2 linked regions of the Arabidopsis thaliana genome follow. The protein of the gene in region 1 interacts with the protein of each later gene in a pairwise test. Each region holds a gene or a part of one and is shown in the gene's direction. Other genes may lie near its edges.

Region 1 (8,295 bases):
AAGGTTCCAAACATGCTCAGACTCAGTAATTGAATAATGGGTATTCTTGTTGCAGGTTTCAGACGACACCCATTATTGTAAATCTGCTGCTGGAGTCTTTTTTGTCTGAATCTTCTTCTTGTTGAGACACTGTTTCTTCTTGGTCTGTGATTTTTGTTTTGTTCTCATTAGGACGTTCTTTATTCCGGTTCAGATTTACTGGATCGTCATTTTCTCTTTGAAATTGTATTTTTTTGTTCCTTTTCTGGTATGTTGTGAAAGCTATGAGATTGCTGTAAGAATCCAAGACTGACCAACATGTTTCCCCTGTGCTCGGCCACAAGCTGCCGTTACCATTCTCAGGTTAGATTTTCTTTATAGAAGTGAAAGTAAATAAGCTAACTGGTAGCAAATTTATTGAAGTCATCCAATTTGAGCTATGGGTGTTACGCTTTGTTAGTGCTTTGGGTTTTTGGATTCATTTTCATAGATAAGTAAGTACCTCATAACGGGTTTGTTTCTGCAGATTTTATTTCCTGGCAATTGGCGAGGCTGTTCTTCCTTCAGGAGAGAGTTGATTCACAGATACAGTTCAGGTGACAATGCCTTCTTTGGTATCTCTAATGGAACACGCCTGCAGAAGAGTTTCGTACCTCAAGCCACTGGGAGTTTCTTGACCGGTACTATCGAAAAAACAGAACAACCAGTATCAACATTCGGAAGTTTGTGCCAGAATGAGTTGGACAGAATAAACTACATGGTTTATAACATGAGTGAAGCTTTTGTAGCGAGTGATGAGGGACTGACATATGTAGAAAATGGAGAAGATGTGTTCCCTGTTGAAGCTGTTGCAGCAGATGTTTCTCCTGTTGAAGCTGTTGTACCAGATGTTTCCCCCATTGAATGCCTTTCTGCTGAGACTTTAACCGATAAGACCAGTAGCCTTATAGACTCTGTTGAATCGGGAACCAATGCGACTGTTAAAATATCTCCGGATAGTTCAGTCTCACTTCCTGATGCGAAAGCTAGCTTTGATGACTTTTCTTCTGGGCTCAAGCAGTCCTTCAGCTCTTCACTTCCTGATGCGAAAGCTAGCGTTGATGACTTTTCTTCTGGGGTCAAGGAGTCCTTCAGCTCTTCACTTAACCAAGGAGAAAATGCTGTAAAGAACACTTTGGAGTCCTTCTCCTCGTCTGTGACATCCATTACAAAGAATGCTTCTGAAGTTGTAGATAGTGCAGTTAACAGAGCGTTTTCTACGCTAGACCAAACGGGAGATGTAGCTGGAGACAAGTTTTCGAGTTTTTCTACTGGCTTGAAGGAAGCTTCAAACAGAGCAGCTGTTATTGCCATTGATCTGCTGAGGCAATCAGTTAGTCTTGGAGAGAGATCTGTAACAAATGGAGTTTCTTTTGTTGTGTACTCTTATGGATCAGCAAAAGAATTACTTCCTCCAGATGTAAAGAGTGCCCTTAACTCGTCAGAAGATGTTGCTCTAAAAGTATTGAGTCCCGTGGGAGCTGTATTGCAGCAGGTGCTTTGTCTTATATACTGAAGGTTCATTCATATTTTCGTAGAAGAAAATTAATTCTTTATGGACTACAGTTGCTAACAGTATCATGATGAACAGGTATCTGTTGCCATTGGAGGTTTGGAGAGAAATATCGGTTTGGATCCAGATGACCCAATCCTTCACCTTTTTCTCTTCGTAGGCACCACAGGAACCTTTTGGTACACGGCTTTTCTTACCCTAGAAGGATATTAAACTTGCTTTTCTTGAGAGGACAATGTAGTATAGAAGAATTTATATTTTCCACCAGATATTTGCAGGGTTCTATATCGGGTTTGGACATATGGTGGATATGCTGGAGATTTGTCTCCCAAGTCAACTCTGGACCTTTTAAAATCAAGAGACAAGTCAGTGCTCATAGATGTCAGGCCTGAAGTAAGACGCTCTTAAGTTTCTAACAAGTTCCCATTTCATGATATATAACTTTTCAAAACCCACCACAATTTGATTATTTCTTTCACATAATGTTCATCAAGGAGTTTGGGTTGAAATAAAAATGCTCATTTTGGCTACTGTCTTTTTGAAGGCCTTGAGAGAGAAAGATGGAATACCTGATCTGCGGAGATCAGCTCGATTTCGATATTCTAGCGTGACACTGCCTGAGGTTGGTTTTAGCATCCTCATTGTTGTTGACCACAGCGAATATAGAAACTCTACACATGTAATCTATGAACACAACGAGGTTTCAGCAATCAGTGCAACAGAAGTAGGATATCAGACTTTTCTTTATTCACATTTTTTATGGGTTCTTGTTCTTGATTCATGTTTAAGGTTGACGGTGATGTCAAACGGCTACTGAAAGGTGGAAGTGAAGTAGATGATATCTTGACAGCAGTAATCATCAAGAACTTGAAAATAGTTCAGGTGTGCTACCTTCATGCTTCTTTTGTAACTTACTATGGTTTTGTGGCTCGAGCTGTTTCAGTTTCTAAGTATGCTGACATCTCATAATTTTGCTTACTCTCCCACTAATAGGACAGGTCCAAGGTTGTTGTTATGGATGCTGATGGAACTCGTTCAAAGGGTATTGCAAGAGCCCTGAGAAAAGTTGGGATTAAGGCAAGTCATTCAGGCATAATTCACTTTGAACACAATAAGTTACCTTTAAACATTTTCGAATAAGCTCTTCTTTGGTTGCCTATGATGTGACAGAGGCCATACTTGATGCAAGGTGGGTATAGATCATGGGTACAGGAAGGTCTTCGTGTGAAAGAGCCAAAACCTGAGACAACACTTACCATCCTCAACGAGGTAATACCATATGAATACAAATATGTTTGGACTGTTTCTTCAGCTAGATGAAATTGAAACTGCTCTCAAATCTTTTCATCAGTAAGTTAAACATATCTTAAATGCTTTTCAGGAAGCTGAGGCGATTTTTGAGGACATAAATCCCTCTCCATTGCAACTATTTGGAGTTGGTGTGGTATGCTTCTAGTTCTATTTTTCTATTTCCGTTTAATAATAATCCCATCCTGACTAATATAAGAAGATATATGCAGGGTTTTTTCGCAGCATTGTATGCTTTGTCTGGTGCGTTTAATTCTTTCTCATTTCCCCTTTAGAATATCTCATATTCTCCACAACACACAAGCTCCTCACATCCACGTTTTGCACTAACATGATTGCTCTATCTCTCGCAGAGTGGGAGAAAACACTGCAACTCATAGCTGTCATCGGCCTTAGTCTGGTATATACTAGCCTTTCCAGTTTCTAAGTTTTGTCAAATTATAGTTGCTTTGTTTTGTTTTTCAAGTTTCAAACATTATGCAGACTATATACCTACGACTTTCTTCATATGATGACTCCGAAGACTTCAAACAAGACGTCAGGTATAAAAGCGCCATCATTAGACCCTTTTTCCATAGCAAAAACTCAGCGAAACCTCTGTTCTGTCTTAACAAAGATTGTTTCATCTTCTTCTTCAAGGCTGTTGCTTGCACCTGTGAAACTCGGAGCTCAGGCTTTCTCGTGGGCTGCAGGAAAACTAGAAACAAATGGTGTTGGCCTCCCAACTTCGCCTTCTTCTTCAGATGTTCGAAGCCGGGTTTTGCAAGCTGCTGCTAAGCATGAATCGAAACCCTCTGATGAAACTTCTGAAAGTCTCCAAGATGCATCATCGTCACCAGAAGAAGCTTTGAACAACGTTGATGTCTCCGAAGCGTAAAGACTCTGAAAATTGTTTTCTATTTTTCTTATAATTGCCAAGAATTACTTTTGTTCGTCTCTTGGAACCGTTAACATCGGCAACAGAAAAAGTGTAATAAAAAAAAACTGTTTTCTTTTCGTTCGGATGCTGAGATTTGTTTTGCAAATTTAGAACTAGCTAAATTGGGTCAAAAGTTATAGGTTACACGTAAAATTATTACAGCAATTTCTCCCCTAATAACTTTGGGCTTTAGGCCCAATAACAGAAGGCCTTAAAGTGGCATACTTAGGGTTTAGTGAAAAAGCAATCGTCATCCTTGACTCAGGGGTCAGGTCAAATCCAGGAGAAGAAGAGGTAATCATTCTACACAGATAGAAACATTTATTTTTTGTTTAATCAAAAGCTAACATTTTGTTGTGACAGTTCTCGTGTTTTCTTAATATAGATGGCAAGACTGATAATCGTGCCAGAATCCGTCTTATTAATCAAGACAAGAACAAATACAACACTCCAAAGTATCGGTTTGTTGTTAGATTTGTATCCTTTTAATTAGTTCATCACATTCCCAGTTGTTAGTGGTGTCTGTTTACATTCTTCCTATCGAGTTTTGTTTGGCCTTGAATGTGAGGAAAGCTAACTTGATTGACCGTATTCGTACACTTCACTCAGCTGCTGAAGCCATATCAATGAAGTTGACGACGAGTGAAAACGTTTCTTCTCTTTAAAAAACTGTATTTCCATCTAGTTTTGATCTTACTTTCGTGGCTTTGAATTTTTACTTTTCATATAGCATCGTTATATTACTCTTTACCTAATTTCCCTACTGTACTTGTGAATTTTCCCGTCGACGTATGTGCAAGTTACTAATTTTATGCAAGTTGTGAATTTGCAAGCGTTTTAATTTCTAAACGAAAGAATACTAATCAGAAACTTAGAAAATTTGACAAGATTAACTAAACATTGTATATGTCTATCGACCACTACTACATTATTTCAATGTGTAAGCATATTTTTTATCATTTAAAATGAAAAACAGAATGGACAATGATAAATCAACGAACGACATTAGCAGAAGTGTGTGGTGTTTCTATTTATCAGCACAAATAGAAAACAATGATAAAATACAGAAGTGGTGATGCAGTGGATTTATCATTTGATTGCTGGACTGTCATTTTTGTTATTAAATCTTATGAACTTTATTTTTTTCTTATAAATATATTATATATAACACATTTAACTAAATTAGATCTCATAAATTTGTTGTAGATTTTTTTTTTTTTTTTGCTATTCCCAGCAATCTACTTAAAAACGAATCCCATCATCACCCAAACATGCTAAGTGTAGCAGAAGGGATAATATTTTGTAGGTAAGGAAACAAATATTTTATTAACCTGTAAATAAAAAATGAAAACCAATTATACACATATTTAAAAACTACCAAACTTAGTATAGTATTATTTTTTTTAAAAAAAATTATAATAACAAAATAATAATAATAATAAATGGTAAGACTTATTTTGAATTATGTTTATTAATAATATTTTTGAGGTTTCTTTGTAAGTGATGGTGATTACATAGAAACTTCATATCAAATATCTATATATTTTAAAATTTCAAGTAAATTGATTTTTCAAAAAATATTATTCTATACTAAATTTAAAGTATATGAAAATACAGAAAATTGTTTACAAAAATGAACACAAATTAGGAAATGAATATGAAGAGTATGTATCCAAATTGTATTGCCATGTTTGCATTTAATTTAAGAGGGTGTATGAAAAGCAAAAAATCTTCTTCTAACAACTTACCTAAAATCATCTCACTTATACACTTCCATAAATTAATTAGTTTTTTTGTATTCATTAGCTGGAAATATATTAAGATTATTTAGTTTTTTTTTTTCCATATGGAAAAGGAAATTCACAGCAGAATTCCTATAAGTTAAAAAAACTTACCTTAAAACTATCAAAATATATCAAAACTCATATCTCCTGGGTCCTCCTGGACCTGGACTTAAACATCCATACTTACACATATCCACTCTATATAAGTTTAGTTCACTACCACTAAACCCAACCAAAGCAAAAACATCACTTCTCTCAACAGAATAGTTTGAGGTTGTGTGAGACAAAAAGAAAACCATGGAGCCAACTAACGATGCTGAGACATTGGAAACTCAAGGAGAGGTTACAACCGCTATTTGGCCGTCATCTCAAATCCTCAAGACGACTATCGATATTCCGGGGACTCTCAGCCATGACGGCAGATACATCCAGTACAATCTATTTGGGCATATCTTTGAACTCCCCGCAAAGTATAAGCCACCGATTAGGCCTATTGGCAGAGGTGCTTGTGGCATCGTTTGGTAATATCCTTTTAACAGAATTAATAGTTTCATTTCTTTTCCTAATCATTTTGAGCACTTTAGAATGTAGATGCCATGACCATTTTTGTGTGTAATTTATGGTTTGGGTTGATAAGTTTCATCTTTTTATGAGAAAAGTTCAAATCGTTTCTATCATAGAGATCTCTAAACAGTTATTATACCATTCATGACTTTTATGTTATTCTTGTTACTTTTAAAATTTCCTCACTTGACACATTAGTTTTTACTTTTCTTTTTAACTTTTTTTACAGTTCGGCTGTGGACTCCGAGACCAATGAGAAGGTAGCAATAAAGAAAATAACGCAAGTATTTGATAACACTATCGAAGCAAAGAGAACTCTTCGTGAAATCAAGCTTCTTCGTCACTTCGATCATGAGAATGTTCGTTTGATTTTATAACTATTGTCTCACCTTTTTTCTTTTATTTTGTTATTCATTAAAAGCTAACTATGTAATATCATTTTTCTATAGATTGTTGCAATCAGAGACGTAATCTTGCCTCCTCAGAGAGATTCATTCGAAGATGTTTACATTGTGAATGAATTGATGGAGTTTGACCTTTATCGAACCTTAAAATCAGATCAAGAACTAACCAAAGATCATGGCATGGTGTGTGTTTAGAGTTATTGTTTCTTGAAACTTAAAAATCATTTTGATTAGTGAGCTTGACACAATCTTCAAATTTTTGGCAGTATTTCATGTACCAAATCCTGCGCGGATTAAAGTACATTCATTCAGCCAATGTGCTACACAGAGATCTAAAACCAAGCAATCTCCTCTTGAGTACACAATGTGACTTAAAGATTTGTGATTTCGGGCTCGCTCGTGCAACTCCTGAGAGTAATTTAATGACTGAGTATGTTGTCACAAGATGGTACCGTGCACCTGAGCTTCTGTTGGGCTCTTCTGACTATACCGCAGCAATAGATGTTTGGTCTGTTGGCTGTATTTTCATGGAAATAATGAACCGTGAACCGCTCTTCCCGGGGAAAGATCAAGTTAATCAGCTTCGTTTGCTTCTGGAGGTAGTAAAGTAAAACCCTTTGTTGTGCCAAGATCATATTCGTTTTTTGTGATTCATGATTAGCTTAAAAAGTCTTGGGACATTGTTTTGCAGCTCATTGGCACTCCATCTGAAGAAGAGCTTGGATCGTTGAGTGAATACGCTAAGCGATACATAAGGCAGCTTCCTACGCTTCCTCGCCAATCTTTCACTGAGAAATTCCCGAACGTGCCTCCCTTAGCAATAGACTTGGTGGAGAAGATGCTAACATTTGATCCTAAACAGAGAATCTCAGGTCAGTTTCTGTCTCCATATAGCCTCTTCTGCAGTTTTATTTGGATTCTTATCATCAGTTTTGCCACTTTGCAGTTAAAGAAGCACTTGCTCATCCATACCTTAGCTCGTTTCACGACATTACCGATGAACCAGAGTGCTCAGAGCCCTTCAATTTCGATTTAGATGAACATCCATTCTCTGAGGAGCAGTTTAGAGAGTTAATCTACTGTGAAGCCCTAGCTTTCAACCCTGAAACCAGCAATGATTGAAAAGGACCATATCTTTGATCCTTGTTCTGTTTTTTTCTTTTCCTTCTCTGCTTTTCTTTGAATAATTTCCCTTTTCATTTCCTTTAATTTTTTCATCTCTCAGAAATTTTGTTGTGCTAAGATTTTCTGCTAGATTCCCTTTTGATGTTGTCAAATTTCATTTTTAAGCAAATAAACTGAAAAACCATGATTCTGTGGGCATCATTGCGACTTTCAATCCAACAAATATTAATACATGAGCTATTGTCAAAAATATAACATTGCAACAAGGAAGAAAGCAATCATATCCTACTTTGAGTATTTTGATTGAAGACAATCTTACTCTTTGTAATAGTTCATTTGCAGTTTTGCTTTTGTCAATTCTTCAAATTGCCAAAGAATCTAGAGAGTGGTACAGGGCCATCGGTTTCGTGTTTACTTTTGCTAGAGTGTTTGTCTCTGCTGGACTTGTGCTTCTTCTCCTTCTTTGATCTTTTCGAACTTGATCTTGATCTTCTAGATTCATCTTCATCACTGCTAGATGACGACTCTGAGGACGAATAATGCTGCAAATTCATAACACAACCGATCATGGTTCATGTTAGCATAAGCTAGAAAACCTCACACTATCTGATATAAGCTAAACTTTTAGAAGGCACCTTTCTCTTTTTGCTTTTCTTCTTC
Region 2 (8,299 bases), 1.1 Mb from region 1:
ATGTACAACAATGGTTTATTCTCTCTGATTTTGATGTTTAGTGAAGTCAAGGATAGTGAAATTTAGGGAAGAGGCTAACCTTAAGGTCACCAGGGTCACCGTCAAGAATGGGTTCGCCGTCTTCATAGAAAGACACTTCCTGAAAAGTATTTGGTATTTAGAAACTAAGATCGGAAAAATCGATAAGCTCATAAATAAATCAAAATGAATTAAAGAGCTACTATGAAACGTAGTTTCGATTGATTTTACAATGAGGGTAGTAGAAGTTCGATACTTACTTCTCCATCTTTCATTCCTTTCTCGATATCAACTGTCACAAAGTATCCCTCCCGTTCGTATTTGACATTAGGGCATTTGTCACAGACCTGAGGGGAAGAAGAGGATACGTCGTTAAACAGTAATTAGGTTGGAACAAGACCATCTGTGACAATTGAACATATCCGTCCTTTACCTGCTCTGTCATCTGTTGGAACATTCCAGGACCAATTTGTCTGTGATAGACCTCGTTCCTGCAGTTACACTTTCTCTTTCCAGGAGCTGGTTTTATCACATTCTTTTCCCTCCATACCTGATAGTTCAATGTGGAACATTCTCACTGAGAACTTAATGCAATTTCTTTTATTTGCATTAATGTAAAAAAAAAAACTGTCTACTCTAACCAAAACATCGCCTGAACTGAACCTAAAGAATGTCTGAATGACACTATGAAATCTAGTTTACAAATTTCTATTGATTCTAGTACATTTGGATCAAAGTAACATTTCCCAGATGAGTAACATGTATTAGTGATGACAATAACATCCTGACACGGAGCTTAACATACCTTCATAGAGCCTCCCATGTACAAATCTTCTAGAGTTGCCTCAAGTTCCACAATTACGTCATCCCCCTTGACAACCTTCTCTTCTTCCTCCATCGAACCTCCACCAAAAAACCTATTAAACACATCAATAATCTCTGCAAATTAGCAATCTGCACCCTTTAAACACAAATGTAAAACATTATCCAAATTTAGGAACTATTCACGCTACAGAGTAAAGTCCCTTCTTTAAACACAAATGTAAAACGTTATCCAAATTTAGGAACTATTCACGCTACAGAGTAAAGTCCCTTAACATTACCAAATTCAATTGTATCCACTATCAATAAATAAAACTCACACGAATTCTATGTTAAGATGGGTTCAACAGGATAGAAGATCAGACAGATCCTAGTGACCCTGTATCTTGTACCTCTAGTTGGATCCTAAAGAGTTACCATTTGCAGAAAACTTACGAGCTGAAGATGTCCTGCATATTCATGCCGCCTCCTCCTCCTCCTCTTCCTCCATTTGCAGAAAACTGTTTAAGTCCCTCTTCACCATACTTGTTATATATCTCCCTCTTCTCCTCATCCGATAACACTTCATAAGCTATTACATCAAACACCAATACGTCAATTCTCAAAACTAAAAACGGGTGAGTTAACAAAGAGAGCAGAATCACACAAGTTGCAAAACGAAAATACCATTGTTGATCTCAGCGAATTTGCGAGTCGCTTCCTCATTTCCTTGATTCTTATCGGGATGATACTTCAAAGCTAGTTTCCTATAAGCTCTCTTGATCTGTTCATCAGATGCACCTTTCGGGACTTGCAACACATCGTAGTAACTCTTCCTAAATCCACAACACAGATTTTCTAAGCATTCACATTTTCCACACATTTCTGAAGGAATCGAAAGATGTTCTTACCCGGCAAGGACGCAGATGGCGTAGGAAAGAGCGAACAGTACGATACACAGCTCCGACCACCGAATCGCCATGGAAACGGAAATCGGATCTCTCCCAAGGATTACTCCAACCTGAGATTCGTTTCGATTTTAACAATGAAACCTCACAGAATGAACAAGAACGAAGATCTTCTTCGCTGATTTTTATGATTGGAAAACTCGAATCACTCTCTCTACTTGTTTTCGTGGAAACGATTCCAAAACTCGAGCCTCGTGGTCGGGTTACGTGTACACTGCAATGCTTAACCAATCAGGATTAAGTCTCTGACGATCGTAACCAATAAATATTAGCCACGTGGATAAACCAACGTCGAATCGCTGACTGTTCTTTTCGTCGACTTTAATGAGTACGACGTCGTTATACTCATATAATCTATACAAGGCGCATTAATAATGAAGCGGGCCTGTAACTCCCCTACGATTGTTATTCAATAAATGTGGCCTAACCCGATTAAAAACCCTAGGTTACTGGGCCCATACAAAATCGAGATTGTTTTATGTAAACCGATCTGGGGAGGCCAGATCCAAACTAGTTTTGCATATTTATGCATTATGGATTTTGTACCTACCATATTAAACTTGTTAATATAATGACAAAACCGCTGCTATGAGAAAATTTATTTCTTTAATCTTTATATAATCTAGACTATCTTAGTCACACATTACGTTGTGCATTGGTTAAACACTACTGGAGTATAAAACAAAAAAAGGTGGTTAAGTAATAAATACATATTTTGTTGCTTATTAATTACATGCAAAGAAACATAGACTGGTTTGGACAATCATGTCATATGTCAGGTCTCTTGATTCTTCGCATCTTCGACGAAACATTATTTACTAGACATACAATAATAACTAGACATCTCACACGAGTGGTCCCGATCCCCCACTAATACCATTTTACTGTCCATTGAAAAATAAAGAAACGTTGCTGACAATAGTAAACTAAATAAAATTGGTGTTTACATATTTTCCACGATACGAAGTAAAATATTGAGAAAGTATTACGCTTATGATTTTATTAATTGTTAGATGATTAACTGAATCCGAATTGAGCAGTATGATTAGAAACAAGTCAGAAATAATAAATGTATAACTAGTATTTAAAAAAAAAAAAAATGTATAACTAGTATTTAAAAACTATAGTTAGCATCTAATTAGAGACACTAGGACGACCCAGCTGGACAGCTGGTTAGTAGCTCTCGACCTATGATGAGCGCCTACGACTTTTGTTTCAACATAGACAAACGTGGCTCGTTCTATCACCTGAATATATAACCCACTCCTCTCTATTCTTGCATGTCACTCCTATAAATATTTAATACTAAACCAATCACTTTTTGTTGTGTCGTCACTTTACTTCTCTTTAAATAATCTCTTTCTCTAGTGATTGACTTTAGGAACAAGTGAAGTGAGTGATTTTTAATAATCGCCGGCCGAGAGAATGGGAAGGGCGCCGTGCTGTGAGAAGGTAGGAATTAAGAAGGGGCGCTGGACGGCGGAGGAAGACCGGACTCTCTCCGACTACATTCAGTCCAACGGCGAAGGATCATGGCGTTCTCTTCCCAAAAATGCCGGTAAAGTTTTTTTTATCTATACAGTACTCTGTCTCTCGACTATCGCATGCATCTCATAAGATAGTTTTTTTGTTTGGTCAAAATTTATAAGAGAATCTATATGCATCGAGAAGTTAATTAATCTTACGTACGGTTCAATTATACACCATGAGTTGTAAAAAAAATTAAAATAGAGACTTGATTTTTTTTTTTTCTATTTAATGTATCAGTTTCTATAAGGAATGCATAATATTTTAAAGTACATAAAGTGTTTATTGATAATTCAGACCAAATTGCCTTCTTGTTTTATTTACATGTATATATGGACTGTAACATCACAAATAAAACGATAATTTATTTCAATATTTAGGAAAAGATGAGTAATCGCTGCAGGCATTATTATGCCTTAATTAAAATCTGACGTACATTTTAAAAAGGGCTAAAGAGATGTGGAAAGAGCTGTAGATTGAGATGGATAAACTATTTGAGATCAGACATCAAGAGAGGAAACATAACTCCCGAAGAAGAGGACGTCATTGTTAAACTGCATTCCACTTTGGGAACCAGGTAACTTTTTCATTTGAACAAAAGTTTATTAATGTCGATATATTTCCAATAGAAAAAGTACACTATCACGTGAAATCATAAATCAAACTGTTGCTGTGTAACGTCGTGAAAAAAAACGTTTTTACAACAAAAAATAAGAATAGCGTCAACGCTAATTAAATTGCAGGTGGTCAACAATTGCGAGCAATCTACCGGGAAGAACAGACAACGAAATAAAAAACTATTGGAATTCTCATCTCAGCCGTAAACTCCACGGTTACTTCAGAAAACCAACTGTCGCCAATACCGTCGAGAATGCGCCTCCGCCTCCTAAGCGTAGACCTGGAAGAACCAGCAGATCCGCCATGAAACCCAAATTTATCCTAAACCCTAAAAACCACAAAACCCCTAATTCTTTTAAAGCAAACAAAAGTGACATCGTTTTGCCAACTACGACAATAGAGAATGGAGAGGGAGACAAAGAAGACGCATTAATGGTGTTGTCAAGTAGTAGCTTAAGTGGAGCAGAGGAACCCGGTTTAGGACCATGTGGTTATGGAGACGATGGCGATTGTAACCCAAGCATTAATGGCGACGATGGAGCTTTGTGTCTCAATGACGACATTTTCGATTCTTGTTTTCTATTGGACGACTCTCATGCTGTCCACGTGTCCTCATGTGAGTCGAACAACGTAAAAAACTCTGAGCCATATGGAGGGATGTCAGTTGGGCACAAAAATATCGAAACGATGGCTGATGATTTCGTTGACTGGGACTTTGTATGGAGAGAAGGTCAAACCCTTTGGGACGAAAAAGAGGATCTTGATTCGGTTTTGTCGAGGCTGTTAGATGGAGAGGAAATGGAATCTGAGATCAGACAAAGGGACTCCAACGACTTTGGAGAACCGTTGGATATTGACGAAGAAAACAAGATGGCTGCTTGGCTTTTGTCTTGAAAGATTTGACACCATGCATATGCCTTTTTCTCCGTTAGATTTTAGCAAAGACCCCACGTGGCAGGATCTGGTCGGTTTGTCAATAGAACATGTTTGTCCCCTAGCGTTCGTTTTTTAGTTTTAAATGTATTTATATTCTTTTTTATTTCTTTTCATGTGTAAATACGATTTTGGCGGTGGCAAATAAACAAAATAAAGTCGATCTTCTTAGTTCAATTACATATAAGCGATCCATTGATGATTACACCATTGATAGCCAACTTAAGTAATCTTTCGACTTTCGTATATATGTATACAAATATAATAAGAAATTTAAAATACAAAAAAAATATAAATAAAATTCAGTTCCATATTGTGAATCAGCAATTCTCACTATTGGTACATAGTCCAACACTTGCTAGTTGCATTCTAGGTGGAAGTATTTCAAAGAAACAAGTTTCTCTGATAGACTAATAATAGACCAAAACCCGAGCAAATTTCAAAGCATGTCGCCAACCACAACTCTTTTTTGTGTGTAAATGTTCACTGGTAAAGTGGTAATTAATGAACGTTTTGAATTTTGATTAAAAGCTATAAGACCATCTCCAACGAGAGGATGTAATCAAAAAATTGTTGGGCTCTCTTGTTTAATGACAATAAAAATAAATTAAAACTGATAAAAATCAAGAGAGTCGGCTTTCTGGAGAGAGTTTTGAGAATTTGAGAGAACCGTCGATGTGGCAACATGTGATTGGGTTTTCAATTTCAACAAAAAAATAAATGTGTGCGCGTTCTGTTCTATCTTCTTTCTCCTCTCTGCCCAAACGAAATTGACCAAAAGATGCAAAGCCCAATCATCGTTTCTTCTGAAAACTTTTCGCATTTGATATCTTTTCTTTGAAACTGAAATCAAGATACACAAACTGAAACCAATTTGTTCACCAAAAGAAAATAAAAATGCGTGGGTTTCGATTTCAAAGATATTCAGGAAAAGATCTCCGATAGCTTTCGTCTATGGCAACACTCTTTTCAATTCTGGGTTCGAGCTTCGTGGTTTTAAAAGCTTGTAATTTCGTGTGATCAAGCTCCTGCGACGCCGTTTGATGCGATTCAACTTTGAAAATTTGATGAAAAGCCTCTTGGTTATGCTTCTATTGCTCAGGTATTATAGATTATGGTGGAAACTTAACAATTAAGTAAACATGATTGAGTTAGAGTATTTAGGAGCTTGTAAAGCAGAAGGTCTTGGTGATGGACCCATAATGAAGCTGTATATTTATGTTGTAATTGAGGAAGATAATCTGGTCATAATGCTTTCTAGAATTAGCTACTCTTGCCGTAGAATTATTATCTCTTGACGTGGAATTGTAGCAACATTGTCAAACTCTGGTTATGTTTATACTAAGACAATATCATTTATTTGCTTTCTTAGGTTCACAGAGGAAGTATAAAGGGTAACAAGATGAATGTTGTTGTAAAGGTGAACATTATCGGAAGTTCTAGATGGGGCTGAAGCCTCTGCTCGAGCTATGACAGAGGTCGACCCCAAAGGAATTTTCAAGTCCACGGGTCTGTTTTCCTTTTACTGATCACTCTGTTTTTTTTCCTTTAACTTATCTATGGAGTAAATGTGAAGCCATACTAGTCTCATTTGAGCCCTCTAAAATGCAGGCTATGGTAACTATTTGTTTATGCTTGCTCCGTCAACCAATGAATCATTCAGACAAATGGTCATTTCCGATGCAGTCTCTGTTTTGATGCCGAGGTAACTGAGATTACTTATGGTAACTCTATGGTTCTTGATCATGGTTGGATTGACACTTTGAACAAGAAATGGGATTTGGTTCATTGCATTGAGGTTAGCTTAGGTTTGGCTTTTAATAAAGTTTCTATTTGAGTGGAATTGTAAAATAGAATTGATGTCTAGTACGTGTTTGATGAAATTCCTCTAAGAGTGAACCTTAAATCGTGTGTATTAAGCTTTGTTTCTTGATAAACAACTAATGATTTAGAGTTCTCTTCACGTTATTGTGATGGAAGTTTTATGTTCATACACTCAAATGTTCTTTTATGTTCGAACTCTTTGCTATATATTTGTTGTAACCAAATTTTAACCATAACACTTAAACACATAATCACAAATTTTCAAAACTTTATCTACAAGTTTAAGAAGCAAAACACTTTAACCATAAGTTTAAGAACCAAAATACATAACCACAAGTTTAAAGAACCAAAAAACACTTAAATTTTTGTTCTTTTTTCAAATCTATTTTAAAATGTTTGAAAAATGAAAACAATGTATATTTAATATTTTATGATTTGCAATAATTATTAAGTTTTAGTAAATAAAATAATTTTAAAAGAATAGTTTTTTTCAGAGAACCCCATTAGAGAGAATCTGTCATTGGAATATGAAAAACTAAAAAAAAAATAAGCAAAAGTTCTCTTGTAATTTTTGTTGAAATTTAATCAAAAAAAATTGAGAAAACCTCTCCATGAGCTCTCTCCATTGGAGATGCTCTAAAAGCTTAATAGGAGCCTTGCCAGTTGCCACAACTTATACGACTAATTCAGACTCTCTCGTTTCTTTTAAAAGGATGATATTGTTCCTAAGCGTAGAGTAGACGTTTTAGTAAATAGTAATTGAGGAAGAAACAAAAACACATAACGAGGGTCGCTATCTTTCGCTTAGAAGTACGATTTGGTCCATTGTCATTGTCACTTTTGTAATGCCTCACGTGATGCCATGCACTTTTGTCTCTCTTATTTATTTCCCCTTTTTTTACCGGGTGACTAAATGATACTTCAATACTTATTTACATAGAATAAAATCTTATTAAGTTCATGGGACCGATGGACCATTTCTACGAATTAACCGCAAACTATCGGACGCATTTCATATGCCGACATGGTACTATAGTAGAAGAAAGAAAAACAATTGTAATACAAAATTATGTACATCATATACAGAACTATAAAACGCAGAAAAAATAAATAATACAAAATTGTTTACATCATGTAAATGCAGAAAATGTAAAGCTCTCTAGTACAAACAAATTATTGATGATAATGTTAAATTCCTATTGGTTAACTCATGAGTTAGATTAATAGAAAGTTAGAAACGGTAACTGTATATATACCCAAAATAATGAAATATATCAATAGAAGCAGTAATACGATTAGCGGCTAACAAAAAAAAGAATGGTATTAATATATATATATTTTTTTTGTCGGCAATGGTATTAAAATGGAATTTATTGTACTATCATTTTAAAGGGCCCAAAAATGGCCTATAAACCAACCAGACAATTGCACACATTTGTCGGTAAGAGAGCACAATAAATCGTTTTAACAATGGGTACGAAGAAGCCTCTAGGCCCAATAAAACAGACCTAGTAAGATAAACAGGCCATCAATACGGCGTCGTTTGATAATATTCAATCGGCGTTAGACCAACTTCTTCTCCTCTCTTTCTTCCCGGCGGAGCGACTACG

Evidence for each region. Proteins that work in one complex are often made in the same cells at the same time.
Region 2: the proteins of MPK10 (region 1) and MYB11 interact in binary tests that used the Arabidopsis thaliana proteins (3 or more experiments, as listed by UniProt).

What each region holds. Positions count from the first base shown.
Region 1 is NC_003074.8:22,086,609-22,094,903, forward strand, and holds MPK10 (MAP kinase 10), read left to right. Parts: upstream 1-5,791; 5' UTR 5,792-5,839; coding exon 5,840-6,063; intron 6,064-6,335; coding exon 6,336-6,465; intron 6,466-6,555; coding exon 6,556-6,693; intron 6,694-6,776; coding exon 6,777-7,109; intron 7,110-7,201; coding exon 7,202-7,382; intron 7,383-7,456; coding exon 7,457-7,632; 3' UTR 7,633-7,795; downstream 7,796-8,295. Other genes in the region: AT3G59780 (Rhodanese/Cell cycle control phosphatase superfamily protein), read left to right, coding at 298-342, 506-1,513, 1,610-1,710, 1,810-1,924, 2,076-2,153, 2,321-2,413, 2,525-2,608, 2,702-2,800 and 5 more; AT3G59800 (stress response protein), read right to left, coding at 7,989-8,177, 8,271-8,295.
Region 2 is NC_003074.8:23,151,546-23,159,844, forward strand, and holds MYB11 (myb domain protein 11), read left to right. Parts: upstream 1-3,084; 5' UTR 3,085-3,212; coding exon 3,213-3,345; intron 3,346-3,761; coding exon 3,762-3,891; coding exon of another isoform or gene 3,892-3,895; intron 3,896-4,057; coding exon 4,058-4,826; 3' UTR 4,827-5,040; downstream 5,041-8,299. Other genes in the region: ATERDJ3B (DNAJ heat shock family protein), read right to left, coding at 80-139, 279-365, 452-568, 824-935, 1,276-1,411, 1,507-1,655, 1,731-1,801; AT3G62615 (uncharacterized protein), read right to left, coding at 3,815-3,895, 4,277-4,309. UniProt on the Arabidopsis thaliana protein: Modulates overall growth by reducing the proliferation activity of meristematic cells and delaying development. Flavonol-specific transcription activator involved in the regulation of several genes of flavonoid biosynthesis.